Linked DNA regions of Caenorhabditis elegans. The protein of the gene in region 1 interacts with the protein of each later gene in a pairwise test. Each region holds a gene or a part of one and is shown on either strand. Other genes may lie near its edges.

What was found.
Region 2: the proteins of dys-1 (region 1) and gpa-13 interact in a two-hybrid assay, tested with the Caenorhabditis elegans proteins (one large-scale study listed by BioGRID).

Annotation. Positions count from the first base shown.
Region 1 is NC_003279.8:11,552,841-11,561,632, forward strand, and holds the start of dys-1 (Dystrophin-1), read right to left. Parts: upstream 5,012-8,792; 5' UTR 4,953-5,011; coding exon 4,883-4,952; intron 3,948-4,882; coding exon 3,628-3,947; intron 3,463-3,627; coding exon 3,338-3,462; intron 2,763-3,337; coding exon 2,647-2,762; intron 1-2,646. Other genes in the region: F15D3.9 (SAM-dependent methyltransferase), read left to right, coding at 5,195-5,215, 5,581-5,805; clec-101 (VWFA domain-containing protein), read right to left, coding at 7,797-8,281, 8,410-8,606. UniProt on the Caenorhabditis elegans protein: Plays a role in cholinergic transmission and as a functional partner of dystrobrevin (dyb-1), necessary for muscle maintenance. Required for neuronal positioning. May play a role in the localization of slo-1 near dense bodies in the muscle.
Region 2 is NC_003283.11:12,749,587-12,758,249, forward strand, and holds gpa-13 (Guanine nucleotide-binding protein alpha-13 subunit), read right to left. Parts: upstream 5,354-8,663; 5' UTR 5,308-5,353; coding exon 5,278-5,307; intron 5,205-5,277; coding exon 5,043-5,204; intron 4,955-5,042; coding exon 4,861-4,954; intron 4,808-4,860; coding exon 4,623-4,807; intron 4,246-4,622; coding exon 4,091-4,245; intron 3,946-4,090; coding exon 3,817-3,945; intron 3,762-3,816; coding exon 3,632-3,761; intron 3,586-3,631; coding exon 3,432-3,585; intron 3,346-3,431; coding exon 3,176-3,345; 3' UTR 3,017-3,175; downstream 1-3,016. Other genes in the region: C15C8.5 (DUF7622 domain-containing protein), read left to right, coding at 60-377; C15C8.6 (Serpentine Receptor, class Z), read right to left, coding at 444-548, 594-966, 1,327-1,422, 1,468-1,609, 1,655-1,810, 1,860-1,938; C15C8.8 (uncharacterized protein), read right to left, coding at 2,310-2,417, 2,696-2,812; papl-1 (Purple acid phosphatase), read right to left, coding at 8,114-8,210, 8,259-8,518, 8,564-8,663. UniProt on the Caenorhabditis elegans protein: Guanine nucleotide-binding proteins (G proteins) are involved as modulators or transducers in various transmembrane signaling systems.

The DNA.
Region 1 (8,792 bases):
CTGGATTTGATTTCACTCAAAAATATAGATTTCCCGCCGAGTTACAGCCAATTGAAGTTGGTGGCCTAGAAAACCAAAGTTAGGCCGCCGACCCAAGGCTTAGTGGCTAACAGAGACAAACACGGAAAAATAGGCCAAAGTTCGCATAAGTTTTTATCGGTGGTAATCTGCTAAATTACAGCAATTTGAAATGGTGGCCTAACTTTGGATTTCTGGGCCACCAAATTCACCGGGCTCTAAGTTAATTGAAAATTCATATTTTGAGCTGAAAATTAGTAGATATCCTGAAAACCTTCCTTTCTTTCCAAATTATATAGATTTTCGAAAAAGTTTCCTAATTGTGAAATTGATGTGAGCCTTTAAACCTTGTGGTTACTGTAGTCGTCGTAAAAATTTAAATTTTAAGAAACCCTCAGTCATGATTAGACTCAAATGAAAGGTATTATTCTCCTATCTTCACAAATTTATATCACATGGCCGAGCATGCAAAACCTAGGCCATGAGATGAAAAAGTTAGGCCATGGGGGTTAAAAAAGTCAATTATGGGTTTTTTTTGCAAAAAAAAAGATAGCATAATTTTGCAGAATCTGTTTCCATAAGATTTACATCATTTCCGGAATTTTTACGCGGGACAAAAATTTGCAAAAAAGCGACAAAAAGTGGCAAAAATCGGGTGAACAAAATTTCCGGTTTCGACGCGGTATTCTCGTCATTTTGTCTCCTGATAAATCTCCCATGATAGTGATAAAAAGATAACAGAAAAATGTATTCAAGAATACAAAAAAAGGATAGAATGGTTAAGAAAATTCTGCGAAAGAAGAACGAAAAAAAAAGGAATTTCTGTATTTCGCACCACTTTATGAGTGGACACACATCGTTTATTGACAGTAAAGATCAGGGAAACAATTGAGTGGAGAGGTCTGGTGTTTTGACAGGCATAAAATAAGGAAAAGTAGAAGAAATTTCGATTAATTTAAGGTAAAAATGAGAGAAAAATCTTAAAAATTGACTGAAATATGGCAGTTTGAAAAAATTGAAAATTTATAAACGAAATTTTTTTTTCGAAATTTTTTTTCAAAACTCTAATTTGTCTAGAACTTCAAATTGTTTGCAGTTTGTTTAAACAAAATTTACAATAAAAGTAAATGAATGTACAAACAAAGACTATTTCGTAATTTTCAGTGGTTTTTGTGCTAAATTGAAGTTAAAAACTAGAATTTTTTAAATCTAGACATCTAGAGTAAAAAATTGTTTTTCGAAAATTCTGAACACGATAAAAAAAAAAAAATTGTAATATCTAAAAAATTGAATAAACTTTACTTTTCCGAAAATTTAAATTTTGAATTTTTTTTTGAATTTTTAACCTTTTTAACTTATAACTTTATATTTTCCAAAAAGCTGTAACATTTCAAACATTCTAATTTATGAGAAATTGTAATATAAGCTGTTGTGCTCATTTTAAGCTAAAAACCAGCATAATATCCTAAAAACTGCCAAAATTAGGGAATTTTGAAATGTGAGCAAAAATTTTATTCATCTTTAATTTTTACATTGCTGGTTTGAACTCAATATTTTTACAAAATACTCAAAATTCTTCAAAATTTGAAAAAAAAGTATCAAAAGTAGTAGTAGTAGTATGTCGTAGAAAAACGGATAGTCTATATAATGATTAGTTTGTCTTCCTATTCTCCGTGTTCTACAGGTACACGGGGACATCTTAATTAGAGATACACAGAGACCCCCCAGGCGAGAGATTATTGGAAAGTGAGAGAGGGTGGCAGAGAAAAAGACAGAAAGGGGGACAAAAGGGATATATGGTTCTCCCTGATCGGGCGGTTACGCAATCTGTCTGCGTCTCTTTTATCTGTGATCTCTCGTCTTGTTACCTATATACTTAAAACCAAATTACGCGGAAAACATCAGTGTAGGTAGGCTTTTTACCCTTTGTTGCCTGCCTACCTATGTGTCTACTTTGTGCCTATCTACTTTTTTGAATGCCTACCTATGTACCTATCTTGTGCCTACCTACCTATTACGGGACCATGAGATGAATGCCTATTTACTGGCGCGAAAATATTGACAGGCCGCGGCAGCGAGAGAGCATATGGCGAAGAGAGACGCCGGTCCCTTCGCTACGAGATATTTGCCGCCAGAAAAGTAGGCATTCTCATGATCTCATTGTCCCGTAATACCTACCTACTTGCCTTCGCGCCTACTTATAACCCATTTTGACTTACCGCATTGAAGCTCTAACTCAAGTGAATTACTGGAAAATAGATAATTCAGTGTTGACAGTTCTTGTAGGAAGGAAAGTCTTCATCACTGCCTGCCTGCCTACACGCTTGCCTATCAGTTTTTTAAAACCTACTAGGCAGTCAGGTAGTCAATCTTGTGCCTAGGCGTAAAACTGCTGTAACTCGGCTCAAAATCTTCATTTTCAAATAAAATAAAAAGTGAATGATTTCAAAAATTTTCAAAAACTTTCAAAATTGAGAAACAAAAATTTTGACCGCAGCGGGGGGTCGAACCCTGGTATGTTTTTCCGTAGCTGTGCACCTATTCTCCACTAAGCCACTTTGCCCAAAACAGTTTTTTCGTGGTTTTTCAGCGTAGAATTCGATTTTTTTTTTGGTTAGAAATAGTAACCTTTTGGATTCAGAAGCCTTGGCACATTCCATGTCTTTTCAGCGACAGCAAAAGCGTTTTCAATCCTGTCGATGGCACTCATTTCGGCGGTTTTTGTGAGGTTTATCAGTTTTCGGCTGAAAATGTTCAGGATTTCGGGCTCGAAACTATATTAACTGTGTTTGTCGCACTGAGAGCTTTCATTTGAGTATAATCATGATTAGTTTTGGAAAAAGTTGAATCCCGCCACGAAAATCACATGGGTACTGTAGTTTTCGCGGCGAGACCCTCTCTAAAATTCTTTTTGATGGGGTTCTCGAGTTCTACACGCCGAAACCTTTCAAATGACACCCATATTGCTATACTTTAAAATATTAAATTCCAGGGCCTATGTTTTCCAAATTTGAAGTCCCAGTGAGTTTTCTAGGCCATGTAGTGAAAAGTTAGGCCACCAGCTTGAACATTTCGGAGCCTAGGCATTATGGGTGTCAAATAGACTGTAATGAAATGTTGAATTTAAATTTGATATTGAATTAAAAAAAAATAAGATTAAAAGTTGTTTTGGAAAATTTAGAATTGAAAAAATCCAAAAAAATGTGTTTTTTTTTTGAAATTTTTGAATTTTTTTTCGAATAAAACCATGTTTCATGGAATCTAGAAACTCTTGAAAAACTGATTATCAATAAATTAATTTCTAATGAAAAACCCTTACTCATAAGAATGTATGAGGTAATTGAAGGCATGGCCGTCCCGGAAGGAAGATGTAAAGTCGTAGACGTCAATTTCTTCGTATGATTTCATGACTTCAATGCACCATTGTTTGATGGCTTCGGAGAGCTGAAATTTGAAAATTTAATAGAAAAAATTCTAGGAAAAAAATTTTAAAAAAAATTTTCGAAATTTTTTTTTTCAAAATTTTTTATTTATTTTTTAATTTTTCAAACCCCCGTAACTTTATCAATTTTAAAGATTTCCACTTGATTTTACACTCAAAAAACTCACCTTTTCCTCCCGTAACTGCACGGGTGCATTATTTTTCCAGAAAAACTGAACAAGCTGCCACCAGGCTGAGAGCACCGCTTTCTGCTGCCCTTCCATAACTTCCTGCGGATTCGTCTTGGAATCCCCGATATTTTGCAAAACATTAGGCCAATCGTCGGATGGATTACCCAGTACAGCCATAGTCTGTCCAATAATTGCTTGGTAGACAAAAATCGCGTTTGAACCATCTTGAAGGCTTTTGTAATCGGTTAGACGTTCTGTTCCGAGCAGGTGATTGGCCCAGCGCACGAATACCCACTCTTGGAGCTCATTTTTTGGGTCTGAAAATTTTATTCATAGCTTTTAACGTTCAAATTCAAATTTTCCGTCAAAAACTCTACAAATCGGTTTTTGAAAAATCGAAAAATATGAATTTTGAGCAGATTTACAGTTTGGTGGCCTAGTTTTAGATTTCTAGGCCAGCAAAATTTCTAGATCAGCATAAAATATGTTCAACAGAGTATTGGTGGCAACAGTTAGTTCTCTTCAAGAAGTTTGCTAGAAAAATGGCATTTGTTAACTAGTGGCCTAGAAATCCAAATTCAGGCCACCCAATTTGACTCGCTGGCCTAGGTTTGCTTTTTCTAGGCCACAAAAATAATTTTTCATTATTACAATGCTTTTCACTGACTTCTGCACGTTCATAGCTTTCACATGACACCAATATTGCCATACTTTGGAAATTTTATTCCATGGCCTAACTTTTCAGTTGGTGGCCTAGAATTTTTACTTTTTTAGAAATTGCTAAATTTTATGAAATTAAATTTTAAGAAGCACACAATATTACTGTTTCACTTTAAAATTCTACAAATTTTATCTTACTGGCAAAATTTAAAATTGGTCGCCTAGAAATTCCTCGGCCACCAACAACTTAAAACTCCCAGAACCTATTTGAAATTCAATTTTTGAATTTTTGAATACTCCTAACAAGGAATAAAAACTAAGAACATTTCAAAAATCTGAGCGTCTAAAGTCCAGGCCCAAATGCATTTTCTCGGTCACGGCTTGAAAAGTTAGGCCACCAACTCAAAATAGTCGGATCCTAGGCATGATGGCTGTCAAATTGAAGGTCTCGGTAAGACAGAAACAAATATAAAATAAATGTATGCTGAAAACTATGTTGGTGGCCTGGAAAATCAAAAAAGGTAAATTTCTATGCCATTTTTCGGGGATTTTTCTTTTTTTTTTTGTCTTAAAAATTTTTCAAAAAACTCACCGCGATCACTTTTCTTGTCCTTTTTCTCGTCTTTTTTCGGTTTCGCAGTCGAGGCGCCCGAGAATAACATGGTGTTGTTGCACTTTTTCGTTCGTTTTCGCCTATTCTATACACCAATTGGCATCTGAAATTGGGATTTTTATTAGAAAAAAAAATTAAGTTGTAGAATATAAAATTATTTTTAAAAAACGTGGGGTTATTCTAGAAGTTTTCCAAAAAATAAAAGTTACGAAAAAAGAACGAAATTTTCTGGAAAATTTTTTATTTCTAAAAAAAAATTCAAAGAATTCAAAGAAAAAAATATTGCTAAAAATGAGTAACAGTGACAAAAGTGTAAGTTTTTCTATTTTAGTTTTTCTAATTTCAAAAAATTTAGAAAATTTGAAGAAAAATTTAAAAACGAAATATTGGTGGCCTAGTTTTAGTTTTCTAGGCGACCAATTCGAGTTTTTCAAGTAGATTTTTGTGAAGAGCTAATTGTGAGTAAACCCTTTAATTTGACAATATATTGATTTAAAATTTAAAGTTGGTGGCCTAGAAAAACATAGGCCACCAACGAAAAAAAAACCAAAATGGGTGAAGCTCTATTCATGTTAAATTTAACGTGACACATCAACATTTAAAAAAAAATCAAGCTGATTTTAGTGGCCTAGAGAACCAATCCTAGGCCAGCAACACAAGAAAATTTGAATTTCTAGGCCACCGAAGCCAGTTCTGCGAAGACAATTTGGACGCATTGTGCGAACGACGGGTCGGACAGAAGCATTTTATCCGATTGGATGGATCACAGTTTTGGAGCAGAAAAAGAGCACAATTTGGAGCATGATTTGACGGAATTTGCGCAAATTCCTTTTCGTTGTGCAAATGACTATGAGATTTGTGCGAAACAATCGGAATATGCATTTGATATCTCTAATTATTGATTTTTTCAAAATAAAAATTTTGAAGGAAAATACAAAAATTCAACAAAAAATATGGCTTGAAAAAACTGAAAATGATAATTTTCAGCCAAGTTAGAGCCTTGTGAAGTTGATAGTCTAGAAATTTTCTAGGCCACCAACTTCAAATTTCTCTAATTTGGCTCAATCATCTTGGGTCTAACAAAAACTTTTTTAAAATCATTTCAATAAAAAGGGATATATTTTTAAAAAAAGCATGTGGCCTAAACTTTTTCATGGACAAAGTTCTAGGCCACGAAATCGAAAAGTTAGGCCATGAAAAAGATGAGGCAAAATATGAGTGTGACTACTGAAAGTTTGGAACGTGTGTGAAATTCATCGGAAAAGTTGAAAGAAAAATTGGTGGCCTAGAACATCAAAACTAGGCCAGCAACTGAAATTGTGTGGCCTAACCAAATCTTTCAATTAAACATTCCAGAAAATCCTAGGCCATCTAATTCAAATTCGCAAAAAATGTTTTAATTTTAAGTTAAAAGAAAGCAACTTGAATTTTCGAAATTCTAAGCCACCATACCAAAAATGTCAAGCTTTTAAATTCAAGTTCGGCTGCCTAGAAAACAAAAACTAGGCCATCAAATATATTTTTAACAGACTTGGAAGCAATTTTTAACCTCAAAAACACAAAAAAATAATAACGGCACGTCTACCACACTCTCGTAGGAAATAGTAATGGAAAAGTGTGTGTGTGTGCTCCCGGAGCATTCCCGTGTGTGCACGAGGGGACCCCTCAATCCGTCAGCTGCCGTCGTCAGTCAATTGTTACAATGCACCATCCTCTTGGACATACCCCAACGGCATTTGATGATGATTCGGACATTTCCTGGGAGCTGCTACTTTTGCTGATGTGCTCCGCGAGCTCTACTATCAAAATTTTAGAGGGGACATTTGAGAATTGGGTTGTTAAATGGAACGGGTGGACAGTTGGTTTTTGAGAATTCCCAAACTTTTTTAAAAATAAAAATAAATTTCGAATGAAAAGCGGCTTTATAAATTTCCGAATTTTTCCGAAATTAGCTTCTCATTCGGAAAATCTCCCAAATAATGTTTAAAACTACTATATTCTAAAAAAGGGCAATGTTTTAAATGTTTTTGAGTAAATTTTGTATTTTTGAGTCGTCTAACTACAAAATTTACCATTTTAGAGGAGTTTCAAAATTGTGAATTTTTACAAAAAATTGTCAATTTTTGCCACTTTTCAATAGTTTTTGATGGGTTATATGTACCTAGATTTTCTGAATTCAGCATACATAAACTTACAGTTGTGCCAATATAATTATACAAATTATGTCCCAGCCGAGTTGTGGTGCACTGATCCTCCTACCGTGTTCCGATTTTGGACAACACTGCTGAGAGTACCTATGATCTGATTTTTACCAAATATTTTTCCATGTAAGATCGCCAGATCAGCCAGGAGACGACGGAGCTCCAGGAAAGGCCGGAGACAACAGTCACGACGGAATCCCATCCCCAATTGACGCCTATGCCCAACACGACTGCATCAAGTGCCCAGCAGGAGCCCCAGGGCCAGCTGGACCAGACGGAGAGGCTGGAGCCCCAGGAGAAGACGGACCAGCTGGAAACGACGGTGCCGCAGGTGAAGCCGGAGCCCCGGGATCCGATGGAAAGAATGGACAACGCGGACAGGGAGCTCCAGGACCACAGGGACCAGAAGGACCAGCCGGGGCTGCAGGACAAGACGGAGCACCAGGAAAAGACGGAGAGACCGGACCAGATGGAGCCGCTGGAGAGGCCGGAGGTGAAGGAGCACCAGGACCAGACGCTGCTTACTGCCCATGCCCACCAAGAACCGTCGGATACGGAGAGGGTGACCAGCCACAGGCTGAGCAATCCGGATACAGAAGACGTGCTGCTAGACGGCTCTAGATGCTCGGAGTTTTTTGTCTGAAAATTTCTTGAAATAAACACAATTTTCCATCCTTTTTATAAGTCCTTTATTAAACTCGATTCAACAAAAAATCATTAGCCCTTGCGCAATAGTTATCAGTGTCACAAGTTGATGTTTCACAGACATAATTCGCATAGAAATTTGATGGAACATTGATCCATCCATCCGTTACATAGGTCACCCCCTCGAGCATCTCGAGCATAGGTGAGCACCTCGGAAAATCCGGAGCCCAAATTTGCCATCCCTGTAGTTGCACTTGTTCTTCTCCGCTAGCCTGATCCCATTTCCAAAGTGAGCAGTTTCCATTGAGCCCGATATGATATTTATAAGTAGGTTGGAATTCCTTATAAGTCTTCAAAATCGCCATCACAAAATCGTGTTTTTCTCTGCTGTACTCATTGACCAAGTGACCATTGTTTCCCTTATGATGGCATGATGCTTGAGCAATGCTCCATGAAGCTGGCAAAGTGACTGGTTGAATGCAGGTACCTTTTGGCTGGTATTGGTGCCAGCTGTTCGGACAGAAACAGTTTGCTGAAAAAGACAAAAGTTATCAACTGAATTTGAATGGTTAAGAACGTGCTGACGTCACAATTTTTATAGAAAAATATTCCCGCATTTTTTGTAGATCAAACTTAAGCCTGACAAAATGTCCTCCTCACCTTTCAACAAAGAGTCTTGAATTTTTTCGATCAACCCCGGATCGTCATTTGTAAAATTAAACTCTTTCGTTGCGATTCCTCCGAGTTTTTCCAAAAGTTGTGTGTCATGGCTTTGCGAATAGGCAACAGTTATGATAATACCACCACTTGATAGAAACCGCGCCGCAACTGGTTTCGGATCATTCGCTCCATCATCTCTGTAAGTATCGGTGTCAGTGGAACGAGATTTTCAGGCAAAAAACGCCAAATTGCCGGAATTGAAAGCTTCTGGTAAAACGGTAAACCGGGAAATTGCCGGAACTGAAAAGTTTCGGCAAGTCGGCTAACTGGCAAATTGCTGGAATTGAAAACTTTCGGCAAATCACCGAATCGCCGGAATTTAA
Region 2 (8,663 bases), on another chromosome or scaffold:
CCCAAAAAAACCTAAGATTAAAAAATCTAGTCATCAATTGTAAAAATAAATATTTCCAGGTGGATTCCCACGAGTTCTGTGACGGAGATTTTTGTTTAATACAAGATGTACATGGACGAGTATCAAAAGGATGCATTTCATTGAATGAACGAAATAGTTGGAGCCATTTAAAAAGTGGACATCGTCGAATTCTTGGAGTTGAACAATGGTTATGCCAGGCTCATTTGTGCAATTATGATACCGAACGGGCAATGAAATCGGTTAGAAGTATGAGAGCTGGCAAGACGAATTCAGTTCGAATGAATGCAAGTTACAGTATTTTGGTGTTGGCTTCATTGATTGTAATGGGAAATATTTTGCGGTTAAATTGGCTTTAATTTATTTAATAAATGATGCATTTAATATCAAAAACCAAAAACCAAACAGAAATAGTTTCATGCATTTTAAAACTTTGAAAACTTGACGGTTTCTTTTTTATTCGGACGAATTACGATTGGACTGTTGGCTGATTGTGGTTGGAAAACATTTCGAATTCGGTAGAATAGTGCCTGAAAAGTAGTTACGATCTTAAACTATATTGCGAAAAAACCTACCGCTCGAATATGAACATCCAGTGTTAGAGAAGTCATTAATGGCCAGTAAGCTGTCAAAAACACGTGTGACAATGATAAAAATGGAACTGATGATAAGAAGCTCATACAGATCCAAAAACAAAAGAATAAATCAAATATGATATAGAAAAATAGGGAGCAAATTGTTTCCCGAGGTGCATCAGTTTCATCTTCATCTTCTCCGTCCTCTGAGGTGTGTGGTTTTTGGAAAAGCTTTTTGTAAATCAAAAAAGATAATGCAATAAGTGAAAAAAGTGTAGTTGGAACAATGATAAAAGCGACTAGGTAGATAAATGATATCACTTCAAAATATTGTAATTTCCAATTTAATTCTGATGGATTGAAACGACGAATTCTGAAAATGGAAAATGGAAATAAACTTTCGCTAGTATAATAATTGTACATTTATGGGATCATGTAACAACCTTTGAAAAATCTGGTGATTCTATGTGAAAGATTGAACATTTAGAAAAAAAAAAAATTTCTCAATCACACAATTTAATGAGTGCTATAACATTTTGATGACAAAAATCCATAAAAACCACGAATGACCCCAAAATACTACGCAGTGAGACTTTTTGAATTTTTCTCAAAAATTGCCCAATGAACAAAAAAGCGCTGAATATAAAAAGGCGCAAAATAAAATATCAAAAGTAGATGCTCTCCATCTTTAATGAACATATCTTAAACTTTGAAATTTCTTGAATTAACTTACGTGGTATGTGCACATATATTTACTGTGAAGAAAAATGAGAAGCAAAATACACCAATGATAATCACATAAATAACCTTGTCCGGGAATATTAATTTTCTGGAACAAAATTTCAGTCATTGCAAAACCTTTGTTTTCTCTTACCCAGCTTTGCTCGAAACAATTCTCAGACTACGGTAGAATCCAATAATTATCACCAAAACAAAAGCAAAACATTGTGATAAAATAAGTAGAAAAGCAGGAACATTTATCATAACTGGGTTGACAAAGTATGGCTGGTTCACCGCTAGAAAGTTTAACAGAGTTGAACATTTTAGGATGCAAAACTAACCTATCATTGCTGGAACTGGCACAAAAACTACAAATAATTGTATAAGAGAAGCAGTAAATTGAGATGATAATATCAGAACAGCAGGATGTGAAATAAAATTAGAGATTTCAGGTAGTATCGATATTATTATAAGGTGAAAGGCAATACCACTAAATCCTGAAATAATTTAAATTATTACTAGAAGAAGATTAGAACTAAATCTTACCAAGTGCAAAATATAAAGTTCCAATTGCGTCTTTCCAGAAATTTTCGCGAATCCAAAGTGCATCCTCGAAATACAACATTCTCAAGATTTTTCTCTGTATAATAACTTTATGTTTTTCTTTTTGAAACTATTTTTAATAAAAACAAAAGCTGGGTTTAGGTGTGAAAAAAATTTATTTTGAAAACAATTGGATCCAAAACCGAGGTCGCTAAAAAATGAAACTCAGCATCAGACCACAAGATATTGAGCAATTTAAAGAGACTTTAGAGCCTTGATTGATAATCAGACAGGGTGATAAGTGATAAGTGACAAAAACATGTTCGTGATGAAGAAACAGAGAAGCAGCTGGCAATGAGAAAAGAAAGGAAAGTTGAAAAATGAAAATAAATGGAGGACGGGAAAAAATGTGGTAGAACACATCTGGAGATAATTTGGTAAAAGGGAAAAGATTTATGATGATGTTTGACTAGATGATGAGGTTGAAGATTGTGAAGAAAGAGCATAGACTGGAGTCCATTTTTTTGGCATTGAGGCAATGGTTCCATTACCGAAAACCCACTGAAATTATTTTTTGAAATTATGTATCCAAGATGTACAGTTCCAAAAATGACTTTTTTTCCGAAACTGTTTTGTCCTTCAATACAAAGAGCTAGCTAAATTTTCCAAAAAGTATTTTTCATAATTTTCAAACAACTAATTCGCATTACACCTGAGCTACAATTTAACTGATAAAACAGGATTCTGTGAAGTTTTTTAAAAGTTTTGAAGAAATGTTCTTGTTATGAGTTCTAATATTTCTATTTTTTCAATGTTACACATTATTGGATTTTTCATACCTGACAAGTAGATAGTTTTGGTGAAGCAGCAGCAGCATTCATTCTTCTTGGTTTCTTTTCTACTGGCACTACAGCTTCAGTGAAAAAAAGAATGACAATAGAAGTTAATGATATCATTATTCGCAATACTAGGAACTGCTGATTTCTTTTTAGCAAAAATAATTTTCACTTAAATAAACTTAATGTTAAAGAAGATACCATCGGCATTTACAAAGTGTGTATAATTAAAAGGCGCAGAGAGATATTAAGATTTAGACCGGTATGTTATTAGCATATCTAATCAATCGTCTTTCTTTTTTCAAGAAACACTGTGAAAAACCAAAGAATAAATCTTTCTCTTTCACTTTTTTGCAACGTTTTCCTTTCGTTTATTGGGTGACAACATAAGTGTTGACAAGTGTGGGAATTAAATAAAATTACATGTGATGAATTGATTGGATTTCAATTAAAAATATAAATTAAATATTATACAAACAGTAGTTATTTCTTTCTTTTTGCAATATCTTTAAACACAGTTGATAACAATTCGGCCATCATTTGTGTGTCAATTGCAATACATCGATAGACACGGTATAGGGACCTGTCACGTTTACCAAGAGCTTCGCATGCAAGATTTTCCATAAAGTCTATTGCATCATCTTGATCACCACCTGAAACAGAAGGTAAGGCACTTATATAAATAATTTAACTTGATTTCAACACCAATTTTATATGAGACTCTCCGTAATATCCTTACCTTTAAAATCCGGTTTATACTTTGATAATGGAATGACGCTGAGTTTTTCACAGAAAACATCAATTTCATTCAAAAACAAATAGATTGGAGTTGTTGCAAACGCTGGGTCTTCACTGATTGATTGCAACAAATTCAGAGCGTCATCTAATCGATTCTAAAATTAATAATTTATAGATTCCTCTTACGAAGTTTGAAATTACCGTAACCATATCCTCGCTCATCACTTGATCATATTCAGAAATTGCGATGCAAAAGAATATTGCATCAATCCCTTCATATTGTAAAGCCCACTTCCGTCTATCAATTTTCTGTCCACCAATATCAAATAATCTGTAACTTTTTTTTTGATTTCCGCTTCAATTCCTCAAAGGAAAATGTGACTCACTGAAAAGATTGATTACAAGCAGTAAATATGACATTTTGAACACCACAAGTTGGAACATAAGCCATGATGAGATCTCTTTCAGACGGCTTATAATCCACCATATTTATCTTATCGATATTGTTAAGAAAACTGCAATTAAAAATGGTAATCTTCTGGATGAAAAGGATTAGTTTCAAAAAGTCTGGAAATTATTCTTGCACTTGTGAAAAGCGCAAAATTTTGCTCTTATGATCATAAATGTTCTGAATTCGAAAGACAGGGAAATGCAACTCACTAAGATGCTGAATCATTCAAATTAAATTGACTCCGTCGAGCGTAAAGTTTTTGCATAGATTTGTCATTCCAAATGTGTTTTATCTTTTCAGCCAAATCTTTTGAGAATAAACCATAATGACCATGTTCATCAGCTATTATGGATTGAGCACGACCCTGCAAATATATAGATGAGTTTTTCGTAATTTCTTTTAGGTTTCAATATTATAGTTCAAGTTCCCTCATTTTTAGAAATTGATAAACGGTCACGAAGACCAACTTATTTACCAATTTACGAAAAAAAAAGCTTCGATGTACCGTATTTTTCCTATTATATTTGCGCCCTCCTTTGTTTTACTTTAACGGCTCATATCTTGGTTGTTTTAAGTCTTATCCACAAAAAAATTACTGTGAAAATGTAGAAAAATATTTTTCAGGTATTATGTCAGTTCACAATTTTTTGTTAAAACAAAATCCAACTGAGATATGATCTGTCAAAGTAGAATAATACTGAATATAAATTTAATTCCAAATTCTTTTTAAAATAATAATACCATATTGATTGGGTCTGCAAATTGAATATCGGACATTCTCATGGCACGACATAACGCTTTGATACTTTTGAAAATATTGTGATAGATGAATGCACGTCGATGAAAATATTCAGACTCTGTGAAATGTTGTTTATAGAGCAACCGGACTTGCTCCAAAACGGTTGTTTTTCCGCTTTCTGCGGATCCTGAAATGAATAGAATTGGATTAAAATGGAATTGAAAATGAATACAAATTTACCGAGAAGAAGTAGTCTAATATGGCTGTATGGATCTTCCGATTTCTGAGAAGCGGGAGTAATTGAACGAGATGCACGAATTTCGGGAACTTGGAGCTGAAAATAGACATGAATTGAATTGAGGTGATCTCAAAAAATTGATTATAATAACGGTGGCCTCCTATAATTGCTTCAAAATACATACCGCAACTTGTGGAGAAATAGATGGTGGTGGAACAGGTGTAGATTCCTTTTTTTCAACAACTTCTTTTTCCGCTGAATGCTCAATTGGCTCAATGTTCTCTTCTTTTCCTATCACATCAGGTTCCGGTATTGGTTTGTCACAAGCAGCCGGAACATCAGACACCTGAACCAATTAAGTTTTGACAACAACAAAAAAAAACAAAAAAAGTTAAATTACTAAAATCCAAAAAGCTTACCTTACTTTGAGAAGAAAAGTTGCAACCCATTGCAATTGCTCACCACATTTCCTAAACTGATAAAGCTGAAAATTGGCATTCATTCTATTACAATAATTTATTTTTTTTTAACAAAAAAAAAACGAATTCTGATGAAAAAGAAAAACGAAGAAGTGCCTGAAAAAAGATGAATAGGAACGCAATTCCACCCGATTTCCTTCCTTTCATCGTCGCGGATATATTTTTCATACAAATGGAAAAGAGCAGAAAAATAAAAGAAAGAGAGTCAGTCAGTAAGCCAAGGAATATAATACCTGGTCGATTGGATGAAATCCACGTACTTTGAGGAAATAAAAACCACTACCGCTTTTGGTTTTTTCAGAAACTTTAGTTGAATTGGGAAGTGTGTAAAAAGAGATCGGTTGGATCAGAAAATATTATTCGTTTCAAGATTACATACAATCCAAACTTAGTCAACATACGTATGAAAAATCAAACCACGAAATATTTTTCCATGTCATTTCATACATGAATGACTGCAAGAATACTAATGTCTTAAAAGTGAATATTTTTTAGTCTTTTTCAAACTTAGTTTATCAAAAATATTTGTAAAAGTTACAAATTTTTTCAATAACGCGACAAGTACAGTTTCCCTCCTTTCATGTTTATTCTTGGACAAAAAAAACTTCCCCAAGTTTGGTTATGATTATGAACGCGTGCAAGTTTTCTGAGTTTGTCTAGTTGTATAAATTTGCTTTAACTGCAAACCAGGGGTGTGCGGCAAATCTCAAAATTTGCGGAGCTCGGCAAATTCGGCAAATCTCTTTTTTCAATATTTGCCGAGCACGGCAAATTCGGCAAATTTGCCGAGCTCGGCAAACGGCAAATTCGGCAAATTCGGCAAATTTGCCGCACACCCCTGCTGCAAACCACCAATTATCGCTTCTTAATTGAATTCCTATTATAATTAAAATTTAAATTCAAGCCAAGTGGCCAACAAACCTAGAAATTAATGACGAATTCAGCTTCACTGACAGCTGATCTCAGTTTGAAATTATTTTTACTAAGCTTCAGAAAGATACCATACAATTGAGTTATTTTTGAACACCATTGTTGAACGTACTGCTAAAATCTGTGCTCAAATACATATGTGTATTTAAGCAATATCATAAGCAATATCAGAATTCGTTCAGTTAGTATTAATTGCAGAGATTTGAGTTTAAAAATCTAAAATCTAAAATATCGGGTATATAGTTCTTCCATTCCGCCCATATTTAAATACAAAATTTTGTAAGGGATTATCTGTATACGGTAGTTCTCCTTTGCGAAGATACATATTTTGCAGTCACTGCTTCAAATTTTCATTCCAATCACACTTTAGAATAAAATGTTTCTATAAGCAAATGACATGTTTTATAAAGTCAATAAATATTTAATGATATGGTTTGAAAATTGACATGAGAGACGTAGAACGGAGTGTGAGCTGAAAAGAAAAAAGTGAAAAAGCATAGCACCCCAGTGGGCTCACTCTATCACATAAATCAATGTGGCTCGTGAGAAAGAAAACGAGATTAGATGTCGTCGTCTCAATGGAAGAAATTGGAGGAAAAAGGTTGACGAATTCAGAAGGTATCTTTAGAGATTAGATTAATTCACAAGCAGTTGGGTTAGATTTTACAAGATTAATTTCTGTGAGTCAGTATATGAAAAATTTGAGACGAGATGGTTAATCCTCCCGAAGGAACTTGTTAAATTTTGATGCTTGATATGAATTTTTTTAATAATTCAAATCAAAACGAGTATCGTATATCGTATATCGTAGATTAGAACATGAAAACGCCACTTTTTATTGGCACCTGTAAATAAACGGTGCCAACCTGAAAAGTCTAAAACATCTGCCAAATATTTCCAATGAAGCTTTCCAACTAGACGTTTAGATTAGTCAGAATTGTTGATCAAACTTTTATATTATTTGATCCAATTTGTTTAGATCCCTGCAAATTATATCTAAATGCAATCAAAAGAGGAAATTGTCATTTTTGGACAAAAACTGTAAATTAAACAAAATCTATAAGTTAAAAAAAATATCTGAAGTATAGTCCATATTCTACACTTGTATTCCATTCTATCTTTCTCTAGTTATATGTTCACAAAATGTATATTTCTGACTATATACATACAACGCATTGTATTTATATATCAAATTAAAGTTATGATGACGTAAGTATTTGAAAAATTAGAGTATAAATCTGGAAAAAGAAGAAAAAATCAAAATTGTTAATGACGCGCCCTCTATGGAAGTTATTCTGACTCATATGTTGTATTACCGCGTACGGTTTCATAATTTCTTAAATAGAAAATACCTATTGTACCTGAAACTCACATCATTAATTTTAATCTGTTCAGTCTGGAGTGTGCAAGTTTCAAATTTTTAATGTATATCATATTTGCAAAATTCAATTCAACAGCTTGATATTATTGTCTAGAAACTCCCACGGAACTGCTCTCACAAATACGTCAATGCATGCAATCAAAAAGAAGAAATCTAGGAAACCACATACAAATATGAAATTTCTATTTTGAACACTGACGCCATCACCACGGCCAATCAAATTTGCCGCATTCGGGAACCTCCCAAAATACCAAACTTTGCTGGACCTGAATAACCTCGGCAACGAAAATTTAAGTTTCAAATATACTGGCATTTGACAACTTGAAATTTTTGATAAAGTTTATTTTTATTTTTTGCTACATATTTCCCACAAACTCTACTCTGCCTTTTATTTTTTTTTCGAAAATCATAAAAATGAATAGAGATATTTTATACAAGCTCTTATTTTTAATTTATTTACAAAATTTAAAGTTCTTCGTTAATTTCCTTCAATGATCGTTTACAGGCGACATCCTTGAAATGGCATTTTTGAAGTGGAAACTTTGCTCCTGGATTTGCTCTTCTACAAACAGTAATTTTTGGAACTTTTTTCAAAGCCAACTCTACTAACCTCATCTCACCAGAATGCATATGGCCTTCATCTTTAATAACCCAAAAGTCATCAACAGTCTGCTCATTTTTATCAATTGAAATTTGTTCAACTCTAATATGTGTTCTATTTGCAACTGTCACAATAGACCATCCATAATCATTATTTCTTGCAGCACTCCATGGCCATGGTTTATCAGTGAAAAGTGCATCTGGAGTATGACAACCTGCTGATCCACTAATCAAATAAACTGGAGCTTTTGGGTTAATGTAAGCATTTGGCTATAAATTTTAATAATCAAGTTTTTGAATTTTGGTTAAACTTACATCATTCCAATAAGCTCTATCTGCAACTGGGTAGAATCTTTCATACGAGTGCTCATGCCCCCAGAAGCCAAAATCAACGGAAGTTTGTAAAAAGAGTGGT